2 linked regions of the Oreochromis niloticus genome follow. The protein of the gene in region 1 interacts with the protein of each later gene in a biochemical or structural test. Links are inferred from orthologs where the notes say so. Each region holds a gene or a part of one and is shown in the gene's direction. Other genes may lie near its edges. The genes, in order: bmpr1ba and bmp7b.

What was found.
Region 2: the proteins of bmpr1ba (region 1) and bmp7b form a complex in vitro, tested with the Homo sapiens proteins (2 studies listed by BioGRID). The link is inferred for Oreochromis niloticus from reciprocal best matches to the Homo sapiens genes BMPR1B and BMP7.

What each region holds. Positions count from the first base shown.
Region 1 is NC_031977.2:20,492,312-20,503,465, reverse strand, and holds the start of bmpr1ba (bone morphogenetic protein receptor type-1B), read left to right. Parts: upstream 1-6,308; 5' UTR 6,309-6,560; intron 6,561-11,154. Other genes in the region: pdlim5a (PDZ and LIM domain protein 5a), read left to right, coding at 1,689-1,809, 3,059-3,174, 3,630-3,719. UniProt on the Homo sapiens protein: On ligand binding, forms a receptor complex consisting of two type II and two type I transmembrane serine/threonine kinases.
Region 2 is NC_031984.2:13,767,224-13,778,559, reverse strand, and holds the start of bmp7b (bone morphogenetic protein 7b), read left to right. Parts: upstream 1-5,942; 5' UTR 5,943-6,260; coding exon 6,261-6,660; intron 6,661-11,336. UniProt on the Homo sapiens protein: Growth factor of the TGF-beta superfamily that plays important role in various biological processes, including embryogenesis, hematopoiesis, neurogenesis and skeletal morphogenesis.

The sequences.
Region 1 (11,154 bases):
TTATGTATTATGTACATAACTGTGGCCAAACTGTGTTTGGTGTTAAGTTGTTCAACAAACAAACAAAAAACACAAATACAGACAAAAACATTGCCCTGAAAATGGTAACATACGAGGACTGGACTGAAAACAAGTGAAAAAGCAGCCAATGTCCAACAGAAACCTTTGAGAGACTTTCAGAAAGCCTGGAGAACTATTATGTGTTTAGATTTGAAATAACTGCAAGTTTTGGGTCCTTTTAAGCTAAAATAAAGACATGATGTGTGGCTTGGGTTTTTTGCACACTATTGTAATCATTAAGATAAAATTAGTAATGAGTGACTTGGTCTTGATGTGTATATTTGGAGTGAACACTCACCTGATCCAATTGATGGAAGCTTGTCACACATTTCATCTCAATTTTGTTCATATATGTTTTTGTGTTACTTTACTATGTAGATATTTTTTTGCTAAGACAAAAGAATTTTTACTGTCTGCAGTAAATAAATTGTTATACAACACTGTGTAAACATGATTAGTAGCTCTAAAACTTGAAATCTATATTCATGCAGATATTTACTGTATATACTGTGTGTAAACCTCCTGCTCGCTGGGACATGAGGTTCCTTTATTATGAAATCTGTTTATGATCAAATGCACTGGTGTCTATATTTAGCACTTTAGCACATAGAACTTGTTATTCTACAACTCACATTCGGCTTTTCATATGTTTTATTCTATGCACTTATGCTGATACTCAGACAATAGGCATAGTATTTTTCTCAAGGACACTTAGGCATGTGGAATGGAGTAGCCGGAGATCAAACCACTTGACCCTTTGATTAGTAAATGACCTTTTCTACCTCCTGAGTCGCAGCCACTACACTCACTTATTGTCTAGAGTTTAGATTAATACTTCTAACAGAAGTATTCATTTAAAACAGGAATGTAATTATTTCCCTATTTCCCTACTTGCAGAAAAGCTTAAAAAGTACAGATGGAACAACATCAAAGACAGTTTTTAAATACATAAAAGACCAGAGCAGGAAGCCTGAATGTGCAGAGGAATATCTACGGTGACCACCAGTAAAACTCAGGAATGCAGTAGATTTTTGGGTGTTAGGAGAATTAGGCTTAGAGGCCTTGAGGCTGTAGGTGTAGCCTGAACCCAGAGTGTCAGGACGCTGAAATTTCTGCTCTCCTTGCTACTATGACATTCATCCCTCACGTGTTCTAACCCCTGTGGCCTAAATCCCTTTCAACCCTCTATTTCTCACACATCTTCAAACAGCTTATGGCTTCTTATTAACCTGTTTTCTCACTCCCTCGCTCATAATCCTTCATTTTAGTTCAGCTCGCCAACTTTCCATCGATTCTTTGTCTTATCTTGCTCTCACAGTTTACGGGTGGGAAAGAAATCGGTGTAGGTCATGGAGACCAAGGAGAGAGAAAAAAAAACCGGTGATATTCAAGAAAAAATAAAATGACCTACTCTGGTAAAAGTTGTACAAAGATTTGCGTAAAAATTTGTGACTTTGTGAATAAAATTTCATAAGCAGCAATGTAATATGATAACATCCCTTCATAAGATGCTGCACCTCCATTTCCTGTTAAAGTGGATATAGCTTTCCAGTTTCTATTATATACACTAATGCACCTAAAACTATATTATGCCTCTTACTAGCCACATTGTTTACATTTTCCCTTAGGAGGTGATAAATGCCCTCAAGCAGACTTGGCATGTCTACTGCTTTCTGTGTGCTTACTGTCAGCAACCAATCAGAAACAACACTTTCCACCTGGAGGATGGAGAACCATACTGTGAACCGGGTGAGTTATAATGGGGTTGATAAAATATCCAGATGTACTTCCTGTAATTGCCACTGTACTCATTGTACATGGTATAATCAAGTTCAAAGCATCTGCTGAAATAAATGAAAGAAATCAGAAAACATCTTAACTCCATTTTATGAAGCATGTAGGTAGTGTATGGTCAGTGGTAAGCTACATTAATAACACTTCTCTGGTTTTACTGACAACACAAAAATAATATAAAATATATTAAAAAAAAAGAAAACTTGTTGTACAGTGGTTATCATTGGTGTTGCTCACTCAGCCCAGCAGGCTGTAACTGCTAGTTATTACTAAAGCATGGATGGATTGATTATAATTAATCAACCCCTAAAATTAGTGTCAAGTGTCGATGTTCATTGTCACCAATAACAACAGGATCAGAAACAACAACACCTGCTGATTCACAGTGGATCACTGGTAAGCAGTGTGTGTGATGAGTTAGTGTTAAATGTACTGAATATCAGCATTTTCCTGATGTAGGACAGTATAGCGGTAGCGGTATACAATGTTTTTTTGCTAGAATAAAAGAAAAAAAAAAAATCCAGCAGTCTGTGAATAGATAAAAGATAAAAGTGGGCTTCAGTTGGATTGCTGCTCACTCGCAATGTGTTTTATATCCAGTTTCAGCTGTTGTGGGGTGAGAGCCAGAGTACACCCTGGACAGGTTTTCGGTCTATCGCAGGTCAAACACAGAGAGACAACAAACAATTCGTGCAAACATTAACACCTATAGCCAAGTTATAGGTGTTTATGTTTGCATTAACACCTATGGGATGAGAGAACTGCGACCCGTTCTCTCACCCCAACCGGTTGCAGCAGATGGCCGCCCCTCCCTGAGCCTGGTTCTGCCGGAGGTTTCTTCCTGTTAAAAGGGAGTTTTTCCTTCCCACTGTCGCCAAAGTGCTTGCTCATAGGGGGTCGTATGATTGTTATGTTTTTCTCTGTATGTATTATTGTAGGGTCTACCTTACAATATAAAGTGCCTTGAGGCGACTATTGTTGTGATTTGGCGCTGTATAAATAAAACTGAATTGAATTGAATTGAAGTTAGAATCACCAGTTTTCCTAACATGCGTGTATTTGGAGTGTGGGTGAACCTGTTGTACCCCAAAGAGTTACAAGCTCTCTTTGTTGAGTACTAAAGTTTGCTTGGGTCTTGCCATTATGACTTTAAACCCTTTGTTTATACCATAGTGACATGACTTTTCTCTTTGTCACTAAACAGACTTTTACAGCTTGTTTGGGACTGGCTGTCATGGCTGTGAGTTTCCCATCGAGGCTGGAGACAAATTCCTGGAAGCCCTTGGTTACACCTGGCATGATACCTGCTTTGTATGTGCTGTAAGTAAAGACTTCAGGCATGTGTCACAGTAAACTGAGTCCATCAGCAGACTAACACATACGACCTACTGTCACATTTACTCATAATCCCATTTCCAACTTTGAACCATCAAGAAACTTTTATCTATTTAACTTGGACACAGAAAGAAGTTTGAGGTCATAGTGCTACTCTCTGCTACTGGCCCTATTTAGTTCTTTCTGTCATTCTTTCTTTTTATTGTTAATGTACTACAACAATGTTCATTTTTATCCATCCTTTGTGATGGAGGTTTTAGCAGAATAGCTTACTTGTTGCAATCTCATAACCTCACCATAAGTCATTTTTTCACAATAATATGACAGCAGTGCTTATTTTAGATGAAACACTGACTTACATCCATTGTGAGCTTTAGTGTAGGCTGGCTAACTTTTGTTATATAATCTCTTATTATTCATGTGTGTTGGGCTTTTTACAGGTGTGCTGTACCACACTGGAAGGCCAGACCTTCTTCTCCAAAAAGGACAAACCTCTTTGCAAGAAGCATGCTCACACACTGAAGATATGAAGCCTAAACTATTCACTTGGCCACATGTTGTCTCACAGAGGGTTGGGGACACCTTTTATGATGACAGTAGTAGTCATTATTGTAGTGGTGCTATCTCTTAGCACAAAAAGCAATAAAGCTTAAGGATCTTAGTTTTGACAACATTTCAATCAATTATAACTGATCTTTGTAAACTAAATGTTATGTTGTCAATCATCCCCAAACAGCAAGGTTTTACTACCAACTGATACATTTTATGTACCATAATGCCATTTTTATTTCCTCACACATAGGACTGTTACTTTATCATTTACTTTGTTCTTCTGAATTTTGTCTTGAGTGGTGAGATCATCTCACTCTCTGTTTTTATTATTAAGCTTGCAGAGTGCTCATTATCTTTAGACACCACCAGAAATGTTTGATAATTTTAAGTATTCAAGGATGCTGGCAAGTTTTTATTGTTAGTTATGATATTTGTTAGTGTTTGTGTAGTTGTAATCAATTTTATTAATCTGGCTAAAACCTATAAAGACTTAAAGATAAAACTGTAGAACGTCCTGTGTTACACTTTGTTTTATTTTGTTTTTTGCATTACAGTTTCACAAGCAACTATAAAAAAATTCCCAGTATATGCATTAAAATACTGCAGGATATGCTTGTGTTATTTGCTTTATACAATTCATCTGTGAATGTCCGAGTTGTAATTAAAGCTGCTGCCTTTGATTTAATCAGTTATTTGAATGTTTTAATTTAAGGAAATTTGATTTCATTTTCTATTTGTTGAGTGAAACTGGCTAGGACATTAAGGCACTTGAGCAAACCTGAACACCAAAAATGATCAAATGTTTTTCATAGATACTTTCACCAGCTTTCATTAGTGTCCTCTTGCTGGTACTGGGTTGGACCCCCTTTTGCCTTTAGAACTGCCTTAATTCTTCATTGCATTGATTCAACAAGTTGCTGCAAACATTCCTCTGAGATTTCGGTCCATATTGACATGACAACATCCGACAGTTGCAGATTTGGCGACTGCACATCCATACTGGGCTGTTGCCCATCTGCTTCAAGGTTTGACATGTTGCGAGTTCAGAGATGCTCTCAAGTCACTTAAATCAACTTTCATCCCCATTCTGATCTTCAGCAAGTTACCTTGACTATTTCTAGCATCTTAATGTATGATGAAAGATTTGCATTAACAAGCAGTTAAAAATTAAAGTGAATATTTAAGTGTCTGGTGAATGTATATAGAAGTCCCTGTTTCTTCCTTGCTATGTGGACCAACATATCTTTCTTGACATTTCTCATAGTTTCATGAATCCCATTTTTAGTTATTTTCTGCCATGATTTAGAAAGAAAATATATTTGCTTTAATATCTGTTTCATACACTTCTCCTTATGCTTCATTCAGATGTTTAGCTCTGTTTAGAAAGCGCATTTTTTTAAATTTAGTTAGAAGAGGAAAAAATGTTTGAGATGACATTAAGCAGAGAATGTTGTTATTTTAGAAACTGGTGCAGGGAATGGATGGATGGAGGGTAGTTTCTTGTTTTGTGACTGTCTACTCAGGATACAGGTGCAGGATACATCCAGCCTATTTAGTTTTCCCCCCAATGCTATTACAAATGACAACGCACTCTTTCACTGACTTCTTATAATTATAAATCTTGTTTTTTACTGTAAGGGGCTAATAGGCATGATTAAAGTGTTCAGTCTCTAAATTCTCAAGTACAAAAATGTTGTTGGAACTCTTAAAGTTGATCTGGGATTTTAAATAAATGGTGTGCCTTTATGCCCAAAACAAATTTTTTTTTATGTCTGCTATTTCTTTATAGTGTAATGCTATCTAACCAAATGAAACTATGTTAACACGATTGTAGAGAAGTCATAACCACTGTCAAAAGAGGAATTTTAACACATCTGTGCTGCTGACAAATGTTAAAATAGGCAGACAGAGAAATAAAGATATGGTTGAAAGGATGTGAGCGACACTGAGGTAGTAAACAGTGGTATGTAGGGCACATCACCACACATTATTCCCACGTCCTCTATACAACCAGCCTTTTTAATACAAACCAATCTTTGCACAATCAAACTGATTTTACTGTTATTGTAGAAAACGATGAAAATGAGATAACTGTTTAGGGATTTTTATTGAGTGTATATAAGACACATTAACAAACCCAGCACTGACCCTTACACGCTGTCCCAATTGATGGGGCATGAGTCAGGCAGAAAAATTATCCAGTATAGTTGATGGTAACATATTTTAAGGAGTTAGCTCATAGCTTACTTATTTGATTTAGCATTGCTGAGCTAATGTTTACTTGTTATTGTACCATGATGTATAATCCTTAGCATATAGGCCTCTTTGATATTCTTGTCACACAAGACTCATTTTAAACTCCATCAAATTTTAAAAAGTTCATAAGGGAAAATCTAAGAATTTCACATCTCGGAAAGCAAAACAACAAAAACACTGTTTTGTGCGACAAAGCCTGGATGTTGTTTTTCTTTTTAATTAGACTGGAGTTCATTTGTGTTTTAGGTGTTCCTTAAACAACTAGCCTATTGGAGTGGTTTTAAGGAACCCATTCAGTGCGAGTCTTCACTCACCTTTCTCCTGCTAATGCACTCCTTCTCTTGTGGCATTAATCACCCTCCTGCAGCTGAGGGACCTTAGGAGAAACACAGTCTTGTGTGAGACCAGTGTGTGTGTGTCTAAGTGTAAAGAGAGCGAGGGAAAAGCGCGAGAGAAAGAAAAGCTACCCTTGGAAACAGAGTGACTCGCGTCTCTACCCTGAGTACCGTGGGCTGCAACTTTTCCTTTCAGTCGAGAAAAAGAAATCCAGAAAGCATCCTAAGGTGAGTAAACTCGAAGCAGACGCGAGTCGGAGATCTTTTTCAGTCGCAATTGTTTGTATTCACCTTGGGAAGTTTGACAGAGCGTTTTTTGTCGTTTCTTTCGGGGTGTTTACAGTCAGATTCACGTCATATCGACTTATTTTTGTTTATTTTGGAAGCGTTTGAGGCTTATCTCACTGCGTAGCTGTTCCTGAGCCACAATGTGATGGAAGAGAGAGAAGTTTAAGCGCTAGGAGGAGCTTTAATAGTTTACCCATGTCTCTGTTAGCGGTGTTTACGTTACACTTTACGTGATTGGGATTTCTGTGGCGTTGCTTGGTCTGTATTTTCCAAAAGTGAAAAGTAAATTAAGCTACATGTTAAATAACACTCGGTAGCGGTCAGCCAAGAGCGCAACTTCTTTTTTCTTAACAATCAATAATATGTGCTGTTATCAGAGGAATGCATGATGGATTCTAGATTCGTACCTTATCCCTCCTTTTCTTGTTCTGTACTTTAATATTCATCTGTACAGTGTGCAAATAGTAGTTACTTAACGTAACTCCAGTTCTATGAGTTCATGTACAGCCCTGTAACAGGATTTACTGTTGGCTAATTTCACCAGAAAACACTAGGACAAAACCAAAGCTTTTAGCTGTGGCATGTGAAATGAGTAGGTCATTCTCCAGTCCCATCAGTACTCATGGCTTGAAAGAGAGGAAGTGTCTTCAGATCCCACCTTGGAATGATACCTCTAGTAAGAGGCTTGGTGCAAGTCCCTTTTGCAATGCATGGAACTTTTCCTTTAATGTGTTGTGCCAGCTGTGGCTTGTCCACAAATTTAGAAACTTCTTCTAGAATAGGAATAGGTGAAGGACCGAGTGTTTTAAGTTCCACCAGAGTCTGGTTGATCTGATTGTGGAGTGCTTCGATAGTGTGATGGACCTGTATAATCCTTTTAATCAGTTTTGTGTGCTCCATAAAATCAGCTCAGCTCAACGTCCCTTGACTGTAAATCCCAGGCGCAAACTCTTGGGGAAAGTAAGAGGCTCACATAGCTATGCATGATCATCGGCTGCAAACAATTTAATTTAACCTCAAACAAAACCTGAAGAAATAGAAGGATGCCCTGCAGTTGGCAGAATGGTGGCTTGATGGCTCTGGTCTCACACCAGTGAGCAAACACATGCTAACATGGTTGAAAAGCCCTGGTGGTACAGTGGTCTCAATCACTGAATTGTTCTGAATAGTGGGGATGACTGTATGGTGGACCCAGCTCAATCAGTCTCTCCCTGTTCACTGCCAAAACACAAGGTGCAGGCTCATGACCAGGTACAGATCTGTGTCACCAACACAGTGAATAACAGCTGCTGCATACAGATCCTGCAAGGCTTTGCTGTTGCCAGTTAAGGCTGCATATTCTATTTTTTTTGGGGGGGAGGGCAACATTTTGCTAAAATGCTCTGAGGGCAAAGAGGGATGACCACAAATTAAAAATCTGACAGACTATGGTGGAATAAACAAATATAAGGCTTGCTTTTGTCTTTTTCAAATGTTCTATATCAATGCAGAACCCTATAGATTTTTTCATTAATTAAAAAGAAGTTATTAGTTTCTCAATAAGAGGGAAAATTCAATTGTGTGAAGAAAAGCATATATATTATAATGACAGCTGACGATTGAATATTTTAATAGAATTGGCTTACAACTTGTAGTAGCAGTGACCCAACTTGAATTTTCTAGACTTGCCTGAGTGGGCCCCCTTATTCAAGGGCTCAAAAAGCAGGGGGGAAAAAAAAATCAAATGAACCTCAACACAGCCTCCAGCACTGCCCCAGTATTCCCCATACACCCCACTTATACACACATAGGCATGCACATAGTATTCAGCTCTCTCTTTGAGACCAGTAACCAGGTCCAGGTGTTTGTCAGTGTAGCTTATGACAAGAGCAGGCTATATCTGTATGTGTGCATGTGTTCACATGAGCAAGCCTGTGTGAATGTCTGTCCAGATGGCATAATCCTGTGACTCCAAATCTTACCTCACCTCATCTGAGGGGTCCGGGACCGGTAACACGGGGAAACCGCGCAGGAAAGCACTCAGCAAGTATAAATGAGAGAAACAGAGGTCCAGATGTGTGTGTATGTGTGTGGGTGTGTGTGTATGTGTGTGCGCCTCTGTGCGTCAGTGTGAAGGTACTGTTTTCCTTGTCTGTCAAAGTAGTAAGTGTTTGCAGTTGTTGAGGCTTCACTTGGAACAGCAATCTTATTTAGGTCAGGAACACATCACATAAATCTGAGAAACAGCCACATTCTCAATTGGCTGTGTAATTGAGTTTTACACAGCAGCTGTAAACAGAACGCTTCCCTAATTTTCTGTCCTTGTGTATGTGTGTGTGTGAGTGTGCATCAGAGAGAGAGAAATATCGGACACTTAACAGTTTTAGACACCTCGTGATGTGAGACGTGCTTACTGCTGGAAATTTAGATCACATTGCTTGAGGTTAATCTACATTCTAAGAATACCAAATCTGCCTAAAACAAACTGAATTTGTGCTTGCCTAGAAAAAAAGATAAGTGCAACACTTAGGAAGGAAGAGGTGCTGCAAAATTGCACTGGAAAGTAAAGCTTATTCAAAAGGGTGACATCATGCCCTATTTAACATATCCGTGAGATTGCATAGTATTTGTGTTAGTCGGTAGATGTAAGCCTGTCTCTTTTATTTTGTGCTTGCATGTGTGGTACGTTTAAATGCAGGCAAATTGTCAAAGCTGTTTTTATTTTATGATGTATTTTTTTCCCGTTGTCAAACAGCTGAATACAAAGTTTTTGCAACTGGGCATATAAAAAAAATACACTGGAGACAGGGACTGTTTTAGGATGTTATATGCAAAATGATTACCGCCATCCATGTCATGCCATGCAGTCAAGTGAAGTAACTTTTGACACCCACTGAACACAGTAGACTCAGCATGCCCCTCAAAAAATCCCAGTTTCCAAACTCAGCGAACATTCGTGTTAAAGATTCTTGATGATGTTATGTCCATAACCGAGCAGGCAAAGTAAAACTAGAAGTACTGCTTTGTAGTTTTTATGCGTAGGCATCAAAAAATGAAGCTAAACCAGATGAAATAGGGGTTATTGAAAGGAATGATAAAACCATGATGCAATAGTGGGAGCTCATAAAATTGATTTGTTCAAGTGTTCAGTGAGAGCAAAGGGGTAAATGGCATGAGGTCAGATTTACAGAAATGTGCCATGTCCTTGATATTTTTGTTCATTCCATTCTGCAGTGGCTGCTTGCCAAACCTCGCTGCTTTTATCTTTCTCCTTTTATTATGCTAACGACAGTCTTGATTTAAAACAATATCAAATCCCTAATTACACGAATCAGATTACCTACGATGCATTAAATAAGAATGCGTATGACAGTAGGGTTAATCAGAGTGTAAACAATCATTTAAGTGAACCATAGTGCAGTGTTTAGTTTCTCTAACATTTAATTTCCTCAACTTGATGGAGTTGATAAGACTCAAAAACAGATAAGAGAACTTAGCCTGGAGCCTTTTTTCCCCCCAAAAGACCTTACGCTCTTTAATTACAGTGTCAGTGTGATTTATGGAAACATTTGAGCATTTATCTCTACTCAAATTCTGAAACATTCTAAATTTTGGATTTTCTTTCAGAGTCCTCTTTGCTTCTAGGGTTGAGATAATGAACTGTGCCCAGCCTGCCTTAAATAGCATCCGATCTGAGGCTCTGTTCTAAAAGGTTGGAGCGGCAAACACTGGAAACATTTACTGCTTAACCTTAATTATGTTAGATTATATTACAGATTTGATTTTCACCATAACAGCTACCCTCCAAAAACTCTTAAAAAAACAAAAAAGGATTTGTCTTTTAAAAAAAATCACCACGAATAATTACGTGGTTATACAACTCTATTTTGTAAATGTTTTGAAAAATTGCAGGAAATATAACAATAACAACACTAGCTTGTCTGTAATGTAAATTGCAATTTTTGTTGTTAGTGTGTTTTTTCTCAGCTGTAGAGCATTTTGTTGTTTGTGTGATAGTTTTACTTACAGATGTCTCGTCTCGCCTGGCCAGACGTGGAACAACATGTTTAATCTGCTCAGGGTTTGCTTTACCTGTGGGAATGGTGCATCTAACAGCATTTGCATTCATGAATTTAAAATTAGGATTAGAACCCATTTTACTCTTTATATATGACATAAACAGTAGCGCATAGTAATAGTTACGCTGACAGTGTAGTTAAATATCTTATAAGGTCAGACACTCATTTATGAAAACTGTCAGTCACAGGGAAAAAACAAAACAAATGTAATACAATGAATGTTTAGCCAGCAAAGAAGAAGAAGTCTATTTGTTAGTGTTCAGTGTTTAAGAACAGCTGCTTTTGCCATCTGAATGTGTAAAAGTGTTATAACGAAGACAAAAACAATAACATCATAGATTAACATACAGATCTGTGTTTTAATAAATGAGCAGGGCAAGCAAGGCCTGACAAAAACCACCAGTGAGGTGGATTTTTGCTTGTTTCTTTAAGTACTCTGCAGGAATAGTTCTCCAGGCTTCTCGAAGGACATTCAA
Region 2 (11,336 bases), on another chromosome or scaffold:
AATCCAAAAGACAACACGGTTTGAGAGACAGAAAGTACCATTTTTGAACGAACAAGGTGATTGCCAAAGAGCTATTAACTGAAAACATAGAATATCTCAGTACTGCGTGCATTGTGACCTTAAAAAATCTGAGGAAACTGGACAAGTGGTGGACAAAAGAAGTGGCAGATCTAAAAATGATCTAGAGCAGAGGAACGGCATATGAGAGCCATATTCTTAACAAATAGGAAAAAAACTAATGAATCCAATTTTTTTTTTTTTTTTTCAAGATGGTTCAAATCATCATCAATATGTATGGAAGAGTTGAAGAGAGAGGTGTCTGAAGCCATCTGCAAAACAAGGTGTTGGATATCCTGTCAAAACCGATGAAATTATGAATGCAGAAAAGTGTTGTGAGATGTTAATCAACCATGCAATACGATCTGGAAATTGCATGACACACAAGAACTTTCTTTTTTCCACATGACAATGATCCCAAACACTGCCAATGCAGTAAAAGCATACCTGGATAGAAAAACACATAGTGGAACACTATGAGTCATGCATTGGCCTCCCCAGAGCCTGGACCTCATCATTATTGAAGCAGTGTGGAAAAAAGGCATCATTTTGATAGAGAACAGAGCAAAAGGCAGCCAACAACCAAAAAGAGCTTCAAGAAGGTCCGTCAAGAAGCCAGAGAACTATTCCTGAATACTATAAATATCATAAGAAAGCTTGCCTAAGAAAGTTCAGGCTGTGTTGAAGAATAAAGGGGGTTATACCAAATGTTGACTTTCAGCTGGTTAACTGCACAAACTCTGTTTTTGCTTTGTAAACTGTATCTCTGTATATGTTTGCACATGTTTCAATTAATCCCTTCATCTATTTCCCATTTTCCTACCAAAACATAAAGAAATGAGGGGTGGCTCAAGTCTTTTGCACATCACTGCATAAGCTTAAAACTTATTCCTACCAGTCTTCCCGTTGAAGATAAAGGTCAGTGATCCAGTGTGTGTGGGCCAGTTAACACCTCGTGGTGTAAATTAGGAGGCATATCCTGGTAATCTAGAAAAATCCGAAACAGCACCCTATGTGACATTCATAAGGCCGTGTCGCTGAGCTTGCTGCTTTTTGTCCAAAGGTGTGTCGTGTGTGTGTGTGCGGTTTCAGTAGGGTGGGTGCAAGTTTAATTGGTTGTGGTTAGCGTCTGTGAGAAGCCAAATATATATTGTTTCTGTTAGCCATGTGGAAGTGATTTTTAAATGTAATTTTGATGATGGCTGTGTGCGTAACGATAATGCTGGCCAACATGTGTTTTAAGGCTCTCTTAAATGGTACAAATGCTGCTCATTCTTTTGTTAGGAGCTCAGTTTACTATATCAGACAGTTATTGCCTAATTACAGCTGTTTTAAGCTACAAACATTAAAAAGACATTAAATAAATACGACACCCTGAGGAAATTGCACATTTTACTTCATAAACAACCTTTCAGAACCTGTTTCTGTCTCTTGGTTGCATTGTGCTGCAGTCATGTCGCTTCATTAAAGCAGAAAAATGTGCTTGGATTTTACAACTATTAGGTCATCAAGAGTCCCCACCTTTCAGAATTGCTGGCAGGCATGCTGCGTGTGTTTGGAGAGGCGCTGTGGTCTTTTTTTTCCACAGTGTGAAGGCCTGCTCAGAGCGTGTGGGAGCCAGGATCTAAAGAGAAGAGGTCCGTGCCCCTGACCTGACCCTGAATATTTTCTAATGTGCAGCTTTACCAATGGTCCCTCTTTCCCCTGAGTGACTTTGACAAGCTGCTTCCGTAGTAATGTCTCTTAATTTCTGAGTAATTGCTATCTCTTAGTGATGAGGAACAACCCCTCACCCAAGCTGAAAAAATGTTAATATGTGGAAGACCACAGGTTGCCGGGGTCCTTTTTCTTCTGTTCCAGAAAGCCCGAGACCCCTGCTGTTCCTTTGGCCCAAGAGAGATTTGTGTCGAGTGTGAGGCCCTAACCTGAGGAGACAGAGTGCAACGAGTCATGTGCTTGTCTCGGGATGAGTGTTTGTGCTGGGCAGGAGGGGGAACATGGGGGAAGTAAGGGGCTGCAGGGTCAGAGGAAAGAAAGGGGGGGCACCCGCTGCAGGTGAGGGGGATTAGCTGCAGCTAGAGGCCCAAAGAAACTAAATACAGATCTGTCAACCTAATCCTCACAAATAGAAAACAGAACCACCCTCCCTTCACAATCCACATTCAGCTCATCCACCTCTTGCTCTTCTACCCCCCACTACACGCCAACCCTCCCACCTCCCCTCCACTTACTACCTCAGGCTCTGCTGCTCCTCTGTTTCTCATCAGTTTTTGGCCAGTCTGTGCTGCCTGCTCTCTAATGGCTCCTCAGACCAGCATCCCCTAAAGAGGGGCTGACTGATCACCCAGGGTCCTCTCTGATTGACAGACCAACATAGCCTTATGGAGTGATGAAAGCAAGAGTCAAAGGGGCAAGGCCTCTCGCTACACAGACAGGAATCTTAATGGGACCTCTGTCGAGAGTTGCTGAAACTGGGTGGACATTTATCAGGCCCACACACCTCAGTAATGGATGCCGATAAGTGTGTGGCTGGGTGAGGAAACCAGTGTCAAGCCTGGACTCTGTGCTGATGACACAAGTGACAGGGCGCCTGAGTGATAACATCCTATAAAGGATAAGCTCTACTAAGCTGGGCGTTATAGAAGGCTTAACTAAAACGGTATCTCTGATTGTCAGCAACACCAACTATAACTGATGGGTCTGGCTGGACTGCTGAGAGCTATAAATCAGGTTCAAGCTGCTCTGGTGATCCCAAGTGTGATATCAGCTTGCAGACAAACATGGGGTGGCAGGACATACCAGGTTGAAAGAAAGCAGTGAGTGATGGAGAGGAGAGCTGCAAGGTGCACTATTTCAAATAAGATAATCACATATTCCTCATTCGAAAATATCTGCAGATCATTTGGACGTGTCACAGTGTCATGAAGCTCATATATACCAAATTAAATTAAAGAACGACATAAGGGTTGGGTTGCAATTGCCAGTTCCAAATTATATGTAACCTATTTGTTATTGCTCAAGTCTAATAAAAGTCCTCTTGAATTTTTATCGCCGCCCTTTTTCATGATTATTGTACCTGGCAAAACATTACGTTTAGTTGTTAAACATTGAGTTTTGGTTCTTTGGTTGTTGAGCTTTACAATGTGAACTAGTTTGAAGCTGTTTCATATACCCACCCCCCTCTTTTCTTCTGCCTGTCTCACAGCTGTGTCTCATATGTTCATGAGGCCCCTGGAAGTGTGAGACACCAGAAGGGGAACATTTGCAATAGCTCTGCTCCACCTGGTTAGGCTGTTTTAACAGGCCGTCGGTTTGTGCAGCGCACACAGTGGGGTTACGCCAAAAACATAGACGAAGGAGGACAGGACCAGCAGACGAGGGAGGGGGCATGAGCAAAAAATGTGCCTCCGCCGTCTTGTGTCCTGGCACCCCGGCCCTACACTTCTTTATTTGAAGGTCAGTTTACCTTGAAAAAAAGTTTTACTGTATCGTCTGTTGGTCTACTTGGTCAGACCCCGCCCCGCCCCTCTTCCACCAAACCTCATCCGCCTCCCTGCATGCACAGGTCTTCAAAGGACTACTGCCTGCTGCTCTCTGAGGCAACACATGAAATAAATATTAATCTGACCTCTGACCGCATGCTTTGAGCTCCTAAGCAGAGTTAAACAGAAAGAGCATCAACTCTTGTCATAGCTAAAAAGAAGTAAAAAGAAAGAAGCAAAATATTTTGAAGTGTTACCTGGGTGCGAAAGCATTTCCAGGTATATTACGCTGCACCGCTGTGTGGTCTTCTTTGGAGCTTTGCATCATGCTCCAACCTGTTGGAGTGTAGTGGGGAGGTGTTTATTTGCTCAGATCCCCTAAGATCATAGTGGAAAGAGCGCATGTGTGTGTGCAGTCAAAATGCTCCAGGCCAAATGCTGGGTTTTAAAAGAAAAGACCTTTTGAGTTTACCATTATGAGCTCTAATAGAATAGCCCTTGTCATCATGGCTGCACAGCTGTTCAACTCAGCAGAGTTTTCTTCCTGAAAAGACTTACTCAGGTACACTGCATGTCTACGTGTCTACTTTTTTCAGCAGCTAAGCAGAAATGTTCCGTGTATGTTTTATTTTATTCATTTATTTTTTAACATTTTCTTTTACAGGCCCAAACAGAGTGTCTCACAATTTGTCTGGCTTGTGTATTTTAGCCAAAATATTCAATTTAGTGGGACACACTTGAGACAAGTTGTGGCTATTCTTTTGGAAGTTTGTATGTGTGTGTGTATGTGTGTGTGCATTACTGACAGGATATTCAAACACTGTTTGTTCTACTTTTCTACTAGTCCCCCTTGTCAAAGGCCCCTTAGTGCAGCTTACCCTGCCTGGCCTCTGCCTGTGCCCAGTGTTTACTGGGACTGTCACCAGACTCATGGAGGCCGAAACAAAGGGGGGTCTGTTCTTATTGTCCCGTCCAGGATTGTCAGCCCTTCTCTGGGCACAAACTGAACTGAGGGCTGGGGGCTGTTTGAAGAGCACTGGGGGCATCTGACCTCACCAGACTTACAGAAAGGGCATGAGAATGAAACAATGAGAAAGTCAAAAGAAAGTGAGAAACAGAGGAAGATGTATAGCTATAACCCAGGACCTTTCAAGTCCTCTGTCGGAAACTGCTGTTATGTAAACACCTGCAGCCATTAGCTGATTCTATCTGAGGCACCGGATAGAAATGTTTATATGTTACATACTACTGAAAGGCGAGTTAAAAGCAAATAGAGTATTAGATATACAAAATGAGTAGTGGCAGGCTATGTAAGCTTTAATGCTTTAAGCCATGTTGAATTGTCATTGGAAAAAAGAGGAGTGGAACGCCTTTGAAGACAAGAACAACCACATTAAATGGGCAGGAAGGTGAGCTAAGACCCCAAGACATGCTCTACCTCCTTTCCTCCCTTTCCTCTGTTTGCAATCATAGCTTAAGCTGTCTGGCAGCCTCTCTTGCTGTGCCATTGAAGTCTAATTTTATTGTCATAAAAATCACCTGGCAAGCTGTAGCCTGAAGACCCTTTGAAACTCCCCTCTCTGTGCAGTGAGTACTCTCTAGATAAAGCAGTCATTCTCGGGCCATCTGAAGTCCCTCCGCCTGTGTCAGTGAGAGCAAAGCGCACATGAGGGTCAGGAGCGTTCTATTAAAGTGTGGTGTTTAAGAGGTGCTGGTGCCAGGGGGGCAGATGGAGGAATGAAGCAGCTGCCGAACATCTGCACCCCTCCTTTGCAGTCTGAGCCCTGTGCACTGCTGCTTTTGTCACAAACTTCCTGCTCTAGCTCTGGGGATGGAAAACTAGGATATCTTCAGAAATGCAGCGTGAAATGGCAGTTGTGGGGCTGCAGTACAGCCTCTTTGACATCAAAAGATAACAGGCTTTAGAGTCTCAGAGCCACATGACCCAAGGCATTCAGAGAGTGCACCTGCGGATCAGCCAATTAACTATTGTAATGGCAGGACTGCAACTACATGTTGCGACCTCTCCTACAGTACTGAAGTATTCACTTGCAAAGTCAAATAAGAACTCTCTGATATGAAATCAGCCTTCCATATGTACACTCACCATGAACGGTCTGTTGTGGCTGTCTTAACATCAGTCATTAGTGAATTATCACGAGCCTACAGGTACTAGGAAATGTGGAAAGCATTGACGAAATGTGGTGTATAATAAACTGAAGCGTCATAATACAAATCCAGTCCTAATCCTTTTCTTATTTGCACATGTAGCCTCAAGGCGTTCTCCTACTGGCAACAAAGCCAGGCTAGCTCTGCTCAATAAGGCAACCACAACATTCTCTCTCTCTCTCTCTCTCTCTCTCTCTCCCTCTACTCCTCTTTGCAAACAGCGCCTCCTCAAAACTTGTTCTCGTCTCTCCTAGTGAAACCTGTCTGCTTGCAGCCTCCTCTCTGCAGTTGCAGGCTGCACTACAGCTGGTAGAGCTTGACCACAGGTTGCGCATGAGGACCGAGGTCCACGCGTCCAGGAAAGCAGTCAATAAAAGGACTTTGAAGTGAAGTTGATGTTTCACTCGGCAGCACTTCCCTCAACATGAGGGACCGTAACTGATTTTGGATATTAAACACAGAGTGCCTGCTGCTAAAAGTTTACTAACCATTTTTTTTTTTTTTTAGAGTTTCGGTGATCCGAATTGGGCGCAATTACGCACTGCGAGCATTATGGCACAGATTTTGGATAAGCGTGCTCCCGTTTTGCTCTTGGTTTGGAGCTACTGCGTCCTGGCAAACACTGCCTTTACGAACTTTACGTTGGACAACGAGTTTCACTCCAGTTTCATCCACCGTCGGCTGAAGAGCCAGGAGCGCAGAGAGATGCAGCGGGAGATCCTGTCGATCTTGGGACTGCCGCACCGGCCGCGACCCCACCTCCATGGAAAACACAATGCTGCCCCGATGTTCATGCTGGACTTGTACAACGCCATGTCTACAGACGGAGACGAGGACAGATACTCCTACCCTTACAAACCCGTCTTCACCACACAGGGTCCACCGATAGCCAGCCTGCAAGACAACAACTTCTTAAACGATGCAGACATGGTCATGAGCTTTGTGAATTTAGGTAGGCACTTTATTTTCTTAAGTCTCCCATCAAATTCAGTTTTATATAAATCCCCTCCCAGAAAAACAAGACCGTAGAGAATAATAAACACGTTGAAATATTATCAATGTAATCGTTGTTATGCGCGTCATAATAACCCAGGTCTTTTATTTGATTAATAAAATGTAGTACTATTATGACTGTCTTTATCTATTAATTATCAAACACATAGCAAGGACTTTGAAAAAAAAGCTTTTTTAAGGACAGATATCTTTGGCTTGACGATTATAAGTGTTGAGAAGTTTCATATGTTAATTCGCGTCGGGGTTCTTTTTTTTTTTAACAAGGAGATTTAGTACTTTTAATATTGCACTCTGCTTGATACATCTTACACATTGTTTTTGGGACAAATCAGGCTTTTAGTCATATGATATGTAAGTGTCAAAGGTGGAAGAGCAGAATGACTGTGGTGGTATTTTATATTCTCACAGTGCTTCACGTAAAGAAACAGCACAAGTATTTTTCTGATGGTACACCTGTGTCCACACAAAGGAGACCAGCACAATAACGACGTTTACATACTGCAGTTATCTAGCTAATACCAGGAGTGGCACATTCCAGTGTCCTTCTCTGTTAAACAGCTGTGCAACCAGCTAATGTTCAGGTGCTGTTCTGTGGATGATGGACCAGACAGCAGCTAACTTGTCAGCCATGTGTTATCTAAAGAATGAGTAAGTCAACAGCAGAATGAGTTCAAAGTGCACTGGGTCCTCCCTTAACTCTAATCTGGAGACATCCCTCACATCACAAATAATGCCAGCCAGTGATGTTAGTTTAGTCACAGTGTGATTTAATTAGATTCAGTTGTTCACAAAATAAATATCAGTGGCATAGGACATACTTCACATCAATTAAATTGCTTTGTTGAATGTTGTTTCCTGGCCCAATGTGCTTATCTAATCAAATATGTTTATTGAAATCGAACACTCCTGGATTTTTTATTGCTGCCAGCAACAGTCAGAGGTTGTTAAGTGTAAATAGTCAAAACATTAGCATGTGGTATCAGATTTATGGATTGATAAAAGCATCATTATAATTCAATTTACTTAACAAATTATGTAGTCACAGCAACAGCTCCATTTATGTTCCAGATGAGTAGCTTTTACATATCAATCTGGGACCAGACAGACATAGAAATAAATCAAATCTGTAGGAGGCATACGGATGGTTACAGTTTTTGTAAGCCAATACATTTTTTTTTCTTGACTTTCTGCAAGCAGTGAGACATTTACATTCAATCCTGGAAAGATCATTGTTGGAGTGTCTTGGCAAGAGAGAGGGAGGTGACACTGGCTCCTCCACTGCACTGTGTAATTACTGTGGGAGCTGCTGCATTGTGACTATTTTTGACAGGCTGTGACACAGATGGATCTGACCACAGAGACTCAAGACACAAGTCAAGGGCCTCGCAAAGTCAAGGGCCAAGACGGCACTAAGATGGCGAGAAAGAAGGGAGCAGGGAGCCTTTGGCAGAGTGATAAAGTTCCTCTGTCTATTTTGCAAAGGTCTTTTTAGCAAAAAACTTTTGCAAGATGGCTTACATCAGCTAGGGAGAACTTTTTTATTTCCTATGTTAACAAAAACAAAGTCACACTGCCCTCTTGAAATCTTGTGGCTAATGTAATCACTAATGGCATCTGCTCAGGTTGAGTCTTCCTCACAGCACGTATTTAGTCTTCCCTCAAATGACACTCATTTGGATATAAACAGCGCATTCATGATTTAATCTGCCACGTGTTAGATCTATCAGTAGGGTCCATTGTTAGGCTGGTTCCGTACTCTCATGTGATACCATCAAATAGACATCCTGGTGGCTTTATTCAAAACAGCAGATAATATGCAATTTCGTTACCCTTTACACGAAAGGGAGGGAGGGAGAGGGAATTCACTGAGAAGAAAGTGATGGCTTTCAAATGGATTGACTATTTCCTCTCCAAATTCCTTCCTTTCCACATTTGCTCGTTGTGGTTTTTGTTTTCTTATTTAGGTTGTCTGAGAGCAAAATGAGTGTAGCTTTTATTTAAAAATTGTCCCTCAAAACTGCATGTCTCCATAGCTACTGAGCCAAGGTACATTAGTCAGACTTTGTACCCTGGGTGCTGCTTCCTGAGAGGCCTGTTTTCATGCACTGTTTGCATTTAAATTTATGGTCAAATATGGGAAAATGGATCTGATTTTAGAATTGCCATCAAAATCAAAGATCCCTGAGCTACTAGAATAGTCCATAGAATGTAAAAGAATTGTTCTAGCTCTCACTCTTCCTTACTGATTGCCACTCAACGGAGCTGATACACTTTGTTGTCAGCTTGTTTGAGTATATGCAGAGACCAATGCAGCCAGCGAGGGTGGGTGTGGGCTTTGGGACAGACCTCAGGCCAGGGAAGTCCTCTCTCTGAGTCACTTCAGTTTAAAAGGCCAGCTGTGTAAATGACTTACAGCATGCATTCAGAATGCATACTGCTGCATGGAGCGCAGCTCACCCAGGTCCTGGGTGTGTGCCGCACATGCTGTTGTAGCGCACCAGAAAATTAGCACACTCACCCTGCTGTCATAGCTAAGTAACAGTAATGAATTTTACCTGAAATGCCCATTTACACATCCCCAACCACAGGAAAGGGCCATGACTTGGCTGTCTGCTATTTGCATCCTGGATGACTTAAAGAGAAGCAACATCGTCACCTGTGCTGTGTGTGTGTGTGTGTGTGTGTGTGTGTGTGTGTGTGTGTGTGTGTGTGTGTGTGTGCATGTGAAGAGGGAGGTGAGGGCATAGTCTTTTACTGCATGATGTTTTCACGAGGTGTGTTAGTCACAGCGCCCTTATTTTTCCTGTTCTCATGCAATCACGGATTAATGTATTCTTATGGGGCTGTGAGTCAATCACGGTGCTACACTAAGGCAATCATTTAGTGGAAGCTACATTTAGCAGATTCATATGGTGATGATATGGTAGTGTCATGTTATTACTCCAAGTTAAGACCAATTTTATCCTTTGTTTTTCTAATTGCCAGCAATTCTTAAAGTTCTGGCATGTCTGAGTTTAGTTCCTGAATGTCCTACCCTGCCTGTGGCACCCAGCTTCATGCCTATTAAGTCCAACTGAAGAGGGTAATCAAAGCTACACATTCACATTTTGTTGTTCTCAAGTTATATCCCTTTAAAGTTTTTACAAAAACCATAAAGACTTGAACGCCCTATCAAACTGTGGCTTTACAGATAATTCTTCTTAATTGTGGCAGTGTTTGCAAAGTTGTCAACTTGTTCGTCTGTAGGATGTTTTCAGCTGGCAGTGTAAGGTCCAACACTGTAGAATTGGCATTTTGTTTAAAAAATTGATTTTTTTTTTGTTGAAGGAAGCTTGGTTTACTTCAACAATCCTTTAATTACTACTTGAAGCCACAGATGGCGCTGTTACCGTTTTACAGTTGAAGTTTCGGTAAAAGTTGCTATAACTCCTTTTTGTGTCTGCTTGTAAGGCCTCCCTTTCTCTGATTGCATTTTCTTTTCCTCTACCTTCTCTTGCTCTCTCATGCTGGTCCTGTGGATCTGAGACACTTCTGCGACACCTCAGGCTTCGGAGCGGCAGCGGACAGATCTGACGGCTCGCATTAGCCCAAGTGTCTGTTCGGCACCCTCACACCCCTCAGTCCTGCTTTGAGCGCTTCCGCTACTCTGCAGGGGGTATCTCACCCCAGCACCACTCTCCCTAGAGTTAACCACCACTATTTGCACCTCCTTTAGATCCCTATAGAGCTCATTAACTCTAATAACACACCTGGTACCTAAAACCAGATATGCGTAGTCAGTCAAAAGGGGCTGAACGAACAAGACTGGAACACTGCACTAAATTATACAGATTGACTGATGCCCCGTAATGATCTGTCTTTTTCTTTATTTTTCAGTTGCTCTCACTCTAACAGTGTTTTAAACACAGAACCGGGAACAAGTAAGTCATAGTTTCCGTGTGCTAAAAGGAGACTGGTGATGAAAAGCGGAGTGCAAGGGAAGTGTAGCTTGCTCAAGATGTTTATCCTATAAAGAGCAAAGAGAGTTTGATCTCTTGGGTACAGAGTGACTATCCACAGTAGGGCGATTACCACGTTAGGAAACATCCTGCCCACTGGCAGCTACTGATGACATCATGCCTGCGTGATGTATTTATACTGCTGTAGGGTCTGACAGCACTGGCTCTCTGGGAAAGGGTCAGCAAAGTTTCATGCTATAACTTACTCACACTTAACGATCATTAACTTGCCACAGCAGGAGTGTGCGCACGGTCACGAACACATGCCTTTGAGCCAGTACACAAGAAGAAACAGTAACCACAGGAAGAAGAGTCTTTACATTTAAGACTTGTGGTCAAACCAGACGTCTTTTGCTTGAAGGCCATGGAGAGGTTTGAGATTATACTAACAGCAGCTTTGCTGACCTCTTACTCTCACTGCAGCCATAAAACATGTTTGCCCTCTGCACCCATAAACCGTACTTCTGGGTTCTACCTCGTGCTTCGCTGGACATCACGAATCAGAGATTTATACAGAATATGTGAGAACCTGGAACAAACACTGACTGCAGAGACTTTCTTGGTATCTTGATGCATGCTCAATCATCCAGGTAAGGCAATCCCAAAAAGCTGAAGC